Linked DNA regions of Xenopus tropicalis. The protein of the gene in region 2 interacts with the protein of the main gene of each other region in a pairwise test. Links are inferred from orthologs where the notes say so. Each region holds a gene or a part of one and is shown on either strand. Other genes may lie near its edges.

Region 1 (4,253 bases), on a different chromosome or scaffold from region 2:
TGGAACCATGAATTCTACTGTCTACCAAAAAATCCTGAAGGAGAATGTCCGGCCATCTGTTCGTCAACTCAAGCTGAAGCGATCTTGGGTGCTGCAGCAGGACAATGACCCAAAACACACCAGCAAATCCACCTCTGAATGGCTGAAGAAAAACAAAATGAAGACTTTGGAGTGGCCTAGTCAAAGTCCTGACCTGAATCCTATTGAGATGTTGTGGCATGACCTTAAAAAGGCGGTTCATGCTAGAAAACCCTCAAATAAAGCTGAATTACAACAATTCTGCAAAGATGAGTGGGCCAAAATTCCTCCAGAGCGCTGTAAAAGACTCGTTGCAAGTTATCGCAAACGCTTGATTGCAGTTATTGCTGCTAAGGGTGGCCCAACCAGTTATTAAGTTCAGGGGGCAATTACTTTTTCACACATGGCCATGTAGGTTTGGATTTTTTTTCTCCCTAAATAATAAAAACCCTCATTTAAAAACTGCATTTTGTGTTTACTTGTGTTATCTTTGACTAATAGTTAAATGTGTTTGATGATCAGAAACATTTTGTGTGACAAACATGCAAAAGAAGAAGAAATCAGGAAGGGGGCAAATAGTTTTTCACACCACTGTATAATCTCTATATGGCCAAAGTCACACCTGGCTTGTCTCAGCCTGCATTTTGTAGGCACTCCACTAACAGTCACAGGTTTGGCCTGAGTGCAGCTACATGGAGGGGAGTGGAGATCAACCAAAAAAAAAAAACAAAACCCATTAATGTTAAGGTGAATATCCCTTTAACACAGGCACAATCACAACTGTGGAAACAAAGGCAGATTTATGAAACCTGAGGGTGCTGCATTAGTTTTATGAGATTTGGCAAAGGCCAAGCCATCAGCTTACGTGCACATAACTCCCATCAGATAGCTGGCAGCTTAGAGTATCCTATTGGGAGAGGACCATGTGGGATCATTGATGCTGTCCTTGCTCAGCAAGTAATCTGAGCTTAGAACAACTGAGCATGCCCACAAGCCAACAGCCAAAGCAAATTCCTGAGGGAGGGGGCTGAGTGGGTTACAGGAGGAGAAGCAAATCTAAGTGATTAAGGGGGTTGCAGCCTTACTATTAACCTCTGGACAACCAGTGTGGCAGGAATTGAAAGATTTCAAAGAGGCTGTTCACTGATTACATTTTTGTGTGTGGGGTTTACATGTCCTTTAAAGCTGTATTCTATATAGAGTTGTGAGCTAAATATAAACATCAGTCAGCAGTCTAAAGGAGAAAAAAAGCTCAACAAATTTTAAAGCTATAAATGTTAGACCCCATGTCTTGAGCTTCTATATCTGCCCAAAGATGCCCCCAATAGCTCCCATTCTTCTTTTCTGCTGACTCGCTGCAGTGTGTGTGTGTATACACACAATATACAATTCATAATACAAGCAGATTATTTAGTGCAGGTTCACATTACATGGCAGCCTAGAAACCAGTGCACACTGCATAGAATGACTTCTCTCGACCCCTAAGCTTTGCTTCTCTACAGCTGCCCAGTGCTCACTGAGCATGTGCAATGTCACTGACACTCAAAATAAGGCCCAACAAAACCGTAAGATGCATATTTCTATGGTATAAACATAAAACCATGGGTAATTAATATCACAGGGCTGCCGAGTCTCTGGCCTAGCCCAGAAGTTCAGTAGATGCAACAAAGCATTTCTAGTCATTATTTAGTGTTTATTTGTCATTTCATGGCAAACATTTAGGCAACTTGCAAATAGCTGATAATAAAAAGAGAAAAGCCACCAATACCAAGGCGCACAACAGGGCATGTAGAGCAGTAAATTAAAGACGAACTTAGAAAGGCAAATAAGTATTATATTTACCCTTTAACTATCAATCTATAAATAGCGAGAGTATTCGCTGTTAGTACGAGTATCTCACATCCTATTTGTGTCTGTTAGTTACCCTCCCATATAGATTGTAAGCTCTACGGGGCAGGGACCTCCTTCCTCTTGTGTCCTCGACTCTTAACTTATTGCAGCTGTATTTATCTGTATCTATCTGTATTTATTGTTGTACTTTGTATTTATCTATTATTATCTTTATAACCCCCTGTTTGTATTAATGTATTCTACTGTACAGTGCTGCGTACATAAGTAGCGCTTTATAAATAAAGACATACATACATACAAACATACATACATACATGCTCAAACCTCAATAAAACCTGTGGTGGGGCCCCCAACCCCCCATTCTACACATCCCTTCACTAGTTCATTAGTTAAAAGCCCATAAATGATCACCTTTCACGTACCATTAGAGTTAAAATACTGGTCAATTGCTCCAACCATCCACTCCGCCTTCTCCTGGCTGTGAGGCCCACCAAATCCATTCTCCACCGCGATCTATGAAACGACATTTGCAAGTAATGTACAGGCACAGACTCGCTTGCTTACTAATACCCGTATATAAAATGTTCATTGAATGCAGCAAATCACCTGCAGCACCGGCCAGCTGCCCAGAACAGCCCTGACAGCTTCGCCGAACAGCACACGTGAATCTACGCAGCGCGCCGCCATGACACCTCTCTCCCAGCAGCAACCGCGTCATTCAGGCCCAAAGGAGGAGGCGCCGATCACATCGATAGAGAATGCCGCAGCCATCAGCGCAGAGCGGATCACAGGAGCGTCTCCATGGAGACAGGCATAGTCATACATGCGCACTATAGGGGAATGGCAGCTATTAATCAGCTTAGTAACTGCTGCTCCGTATGGCAAGGCTGTAGGGCCCAAGGGGTCCCTGCTAGTATCAGAGGGGCACAGTAGGAAGTAGAAGGGGGACACACAAATTGGAAAAATGTTAAACACTTGAAAAAAAAAAGAAATGCTGTGGTGGAAACTTTCTGACCACTCCCATTTTTGTGACCACATCCCTAAAATATCACTCCCATTTACAAAATTTGGCAGGTTATTTAAAATTTTAACACATGTTTGGGGGGGTCTTGGTTTATTGTGTTATTACAATTTTGATTGTAATTGTATCTTTTTTTAGCATTCAGTGCAGGAGATCAAAGGGAAATGAGGGACAGAGTACACAGAGGCCCAAACAGCCCACAACAGCCCAATAATTAGTGACTGTCTATGGCCAGGGCCGGATTTCTACTTGGGGCGCCCCAAGGCCGCCCCCATTCGACGCCCCCCCCACCCCCGCCGCAAAAATGCAAATGCGCCTAACTTGCGCATTCCCCATTCCTCCGTATGGGAGCAAAATGTTAAAATTTGCTTGCAGCGGGGCGGCATGCCACCCCTGTGTATGTGCCGCCCTAGGCCCGGGCCTTTGTGGCCTCGCCACAAATCCGGGCCTGTCTATGGCATCTTACAGCAGTGCCTGTGCTACAGAGGAAGCAGGCCCTGGATTTGCAGTGAGGCCCTAATAATGAGTAATTTCAATAATCATATAGTATTCACATTAAGTTTTGCCTGATGCACCACACTCTGTTACAGTGCAGTTAAGCACGCATACTGGCATAACTATAGAGGAAGCAAACCCTTCAGTCACGAGAGGGGGGCAGACTGTGGGGTCTGCTACCTCTGCAGCTCTAAAAAATTCCCCTCCCGAGCTACTAGCTTACCTATCTGGTGTGTTTGGCTGAGCGCTTGAAGGGAGGTCCATGCCAGGTCCCCTGCAGGTTTCTTTGCAGGGGGGCCCAGAGCAGCATTATTACACCACTGCATCCACATCATAGGCAAGTGTTGCACAGTAATACATAGTATTACCCCCATTGCAAGCATGCTCTTCTATGTCACTAGTGAAAAATCCATTGTGGGAACAGTGCCTGGCACACTAAGTTACATTTGCACAGCACTGGAGTATCACACGGTACTCCAGCATGCCAAAGAGCATGCTCAGCTGATGCTTTTGCCTTTTTCTGTGCCACCACACCATTATTCCTGTCAGGAAAAATCGGTGGTGGGCACAGGCAGCTGCAGTTGGTCTTATGATGGACATGGAGCTAAACATATAGAGCATACCTCCCAACATTTGAAAAATGAAAAGAGGGACAAAAAGATTTGGCGTGCGCAGCGCGGCAAAATTTTTTGATCACGCCCCCTTTTGTGGCCACGCCCCAATTACCACACCCCATTTAAAAAAAATACCCCTTTTATATAGATGAAATGGCGGGTGCAGACGAAAATGTGCTATACCCTCATACTGAATGACCTAAGGAAAACAATATAGCAACTCCTACATATAAATACAAGTATAGAGAGAAGGC
Region 2 (4,064 bases):
CTATATTACCCAGCATGCCTCACTGTCACAGTGTAACTGTGCCATTCCCACCCTTGGCTCTCCTCTTGGCTATATTACCCAGCATGCCTCACTGTCATAGTGTAACTGCGCCATTCCCACCCTTGGCTCTCCTCTTGGCTATATTACCCAGCATGCCTCACTGTCACAGTGTAACTGTGCCATTCCCACCCTTGGCTCTCCTCTTGGCTATATTACCCAGCATGCCTCACTGTCACAGTGTAACTGTGCCATTCCCACCCTTGGCTTTCTCTTGGCTATATTACCCAGCATGCCTCACTGTCACAGTGTAACTGTGCCATTCCCACCCTTGGCTCTCCTCTTGGCTCTATTACCCAGCATGCCTCACTGTCACAGTGTAACTGTGCCATTCCCACCCTTGGCTCTCCTCTTGGCTATATTACCCAGCATGCCTCACTGTCACAGTGTAACTGTGCCATTCCCACCCTTGGCTCTCCTCTTGGCTCTATTACCCAGCATGCCTCACTGTCACAGTGTAACTGTGCCATTCCCACCCTTGGCTCTCCTCTTGGCTATATTACCCAGCATGCCTCACTGTCACAGTGTAACTGTGCCATTCCCACCCTTGGCTCTCCTCTTGGCTCTATTACCCAGCATGCCTCACTGTCACAGTGTAACTGCGCCATTCCCACCCTTGGCTCTCCTCTTGGCTATATTACCCAGCATGCCTCACTGTCACAGTGTAACTGTGCCATTCCCACCCTTGGCTTTCTCTTGGCTATATTACCCAGCATGCCTCACTGTCACAGTGTAACTGCGCCATTCCCACCCTTGGCTTTCTCTTGGCTATATTACCCAGCATGCCTCACTGTCACAGTGTAACTGTGCCATTCCCACCCTTGGCTCTCCTCTTGGCTATATTACCCAGCATGCCTCACTGTCACAGTGTAACTGTGCCATTCCCACCCTTGGCTTTCTCTTGGCTATATTACCCAGCATGCCTCACTGTCACAGTGTAACTGCGCCATTCCCACCCTTGGCTTTCTCTTGGCTATATTACCCAGCATGCCTCACTGTCACAGTGTAACTGTGCCATTCCCACCCTTGGCTTTCTCTTGGCTATATTACCCAGCATGCCTCACTGTCACAGTGTAACTGTGCCATTCCCACCCTTGGCTTTCTCTTGGCTATATTACCCAGCATGCCTCACTGTCACAGTGTAACTGTGCCATTCCCACCCTTGGCTCTCCTCTTGGCTCTATTACCCAGCATGCCTCACTGTCACAGTGTAACTGTGCCATTCCCACCCTTGGCTCTCCTCTTGGCTATATTACCCAGCATGCCTCACTGTCACAGTGTAACTGTGCCATTCCCACCCTTGGCTCTCCTCTTGGCTCTATTACCCAGCATGCCTCACTGTCACAGTGTAACTGTGCCATTCCCACCCTTGGCTCTCCTCTTGGCTATATTACCCAGCATGCCTCACTGTCACAGTGTAACTGTGCCATTCCCACCCTTGGCTCTCCTCTTGGCTATATTACCCAGCATGCCTCACTGTCACAGTGTAACTGCGCCATTCCCACCCTTGGCTCTCCTCTTGGCTATATTACCCAGCATGCCTCACTGTCACAGTGTAACTGCGCCATTCCCACCCTTGGCTCTCCTCTTGGCTATATTACCCAGCATGCCTCACTGTCACAGTGTAACTGTGCCATTCCCACCCTTGGCTTTCTCTTGGCTATATTACCCAGCATGCCTCACTGTCACAGTGTAACTGTGCCATTCCCACCCTTGGCTTTCTCTTGGCTATATTACCCAGCATGCCTCACTGTCATAGTGTAACTGCGCCATTCCCACCCTTGGCTCTCCTCTTGGCTATATTACCCAGCATGCCTCACTGTCACAGTGTAACTGTGCCATTCCCACCCTTGGCTCTCCTCTTGGCTCTATTACCCAGCATGCCTCACTGTCACAGTGTAACTGTGCCATTCCCACCCTTGGCTCTCCTCTTGGCTCTATTACCCAGCATGCCTCACTGTCACAGTGTAACTGTGCCATTCCCACCCTTGGCTCTCCTCTTGGCTATATTACCCAGCATGCCTCACTGTCACAGTGTAACTGCGCCATTCCCACCCTTGGCTCTCCTCTTGGCTATATTACCCAGCATGCCTCACTGTCACAGTGTAACTGCGCCATTCCCACCCTTGGCTCTCCTCTTGGCTATATTACCCAGCATGCCTCACTGTCACAGTGTAACTGTGCCATTCCCACCCTTGGCTTTCTCTTGGCTATATTACCCAGCATGCCTCACTGTCACAGTGTAACTGTGCCATTCCCACCCTTGGCTTTCTCTTGGCTATATTACCCAGCATGCCTCACTGTCATAGTGTAACTGCGCCATTCCCACCCTTGGCTCTCCTCTTGGCTATATTACCCAGCATGCCTCACTGTCACAGTGTAACTGTGCCATTCCCACCCTTGGCTCTCCTCTTGGCTCTATTACCCAGCATGCCTCAGTGCATGTCTATATGCTAGAGGCTGGGAGACAGTGTGCCAAGCCCATGCCAAGGCTCAGTGCCCAGGGAGGGGACACACATGATGCATAATGGCAGCACTCATTTAGTCTGTGCCAGCTACAGTCCCTGTTTATCCCCTTCCCTCTGCCTCCTCTCACACTGACAGCCACCTGCCCCCCCCCCCTTGCTCTCCTCACCCGCAGCTCCTCGGTGTCCGCCATCTTCTCCAGGCACCATCCTGCGGCCAGCGGGCTAGAGTGGGGGAAGGGAACGGGAGAGGTGGGGGGATGGTCAGTTTATGGGAGGAGCCATCGGGGGCGCGCAAAGCGTGTGCAGGAGATCTCTGAGGGAAAACGGGGAAGCGCGGGAATGAGGGTCCGTCCATGTGCGGGGGCTGCTCATGAATGGGTTATGGAGGCACAGAGGGATAGATACAGAGACTGTTACATAGTTGTCAGATAGATACAGGCATGAATAGGTAACAGGTGACTGATAAATCCACACAGATAATATGTGTCACCACACACTGATATGTGTCACCACACACTGATATGTGTCACTACACACAGATTATAGTTTGGTTGCCACCCCTGATGGAAATATCCTATTCTCCCCCCTCCCCTGAATTTGTATAAACCTCCCCGCCCCCACAATAGTGACATAAATAAAGGGGTGAAGGTTCATCTCCACTGTGAGGTTCCACCAGATAAGGTCTGCTTCCATGTGGCCAGAAATTCCAGCGTCCCATAAATCCCAAAGTAATACTAGGCTGAAAGCAGGAATGGGGGCCAAGGCCCTGGTGATATGGTGGGGTTGCACCGGTGCCCAAATACTCTTAGTTCTGCCACTGGGTCTAAAGCTGGCCATACGCGCACCAGTATTATCATACGAAACCTCGTTTCATACGCTATTCGGTGCGTGTATGGCGGCTCGAAGAGGCGGCCGATATCACAGAAGGCTGCGGATATCGGTCGATTGCCCAGGTTCAAGCAAAATCTACATTCAGGGCTGAATTGCCAGGTGGAGGTAGAATTTCTATTGTTTCTGGGAACGATCTTTAAAGATCGGAATTGCTACGTGTATGGCCACAGTAGTAACATCAAAAAATGTAAGTGTTTTAAAGTAATTTAATGTGCTGTTGCTCTGCAAAAAACTGGTGTTTTTTGCTACACAAAAGCTACTATATAAATAAGCTGCTGTGTAGCCATGGGGGCAGCCATTCAAGCTGGAAAAAAGGAGAAAAGGCACAGGTTACATAGCAGATAACTAGTAGATAAGCCCCATATAATGTGGGTTTATCTGTTATCTGCTAAGTAACCTGTGCCTTTTCTCCTTTGAATGGCTGCCCCCATGGCTACACAGCAGATTACTTATATAAACTATAGTAGTCTTTCTGAGGCAAACACACCAGTTGTAGCAATGCAGGGCAACAGTACATTATATTGTAATTACTTTTATACACTTTCATTTTTTGGTGTTACTGTTCCTTTAAGACCAACTCCATAATTCCTCAGATATGTTTTAAAGCTTTATTTTGCACATTTTTCTCCCATTCTACTTTTTTGGCCT

Evidence for each region. The genes of interacting proteins can lie anywhere in the genome.
Region 1: the proteins of pias2 (region 2) and tsr2 interact in binary tests that used the Homo sapiens proteins (3 or more experiments, as listed by UniProt). The two-hybrid records come from large-scale screens. The link is inferred for Xenopus tropicalis from reciprocal best matches to the Homo sapiens genes PIAS2 and TSR2.

What each region holds. Positions count from the first base shown.
Region 1 is NC_030684.2:25,372,952-25,377,204, reverse strand, and holds the start of tsr2 (pre-rRNA-processing protein TSR2 homolog), read right to left. Parts: upstream 2,801-4,253; 5' UTR 2,588-2,800; coding exon of another isoform or gene 2,557-2,587; coding exon 2,476-2,556; intron 2,383-2,475; coding exon 2,292-2,382; intron 1-2,291. UniProt on the Homo sapiens protein: May be involved in 20S pre-rRNA processing.
Region 2 is NC_030677.2:206,564,446-206,568,509, reverse strand, and holds the start of pias2 (E3 SUMO-protein ligase PIAS2), read right to left. Parts: upstream 2,801-4,064; 5' UTR 2,717-2,800; coding exon 2,693-2,716; intron 1-2,692. UniProt on the Homo sapiens protein: Functions as an E3-type small ubiquitin-like modifier (SUMO) ligase, stabilizing the interaction between UBE2I and the substrate, and as a SUMO-tethering factor.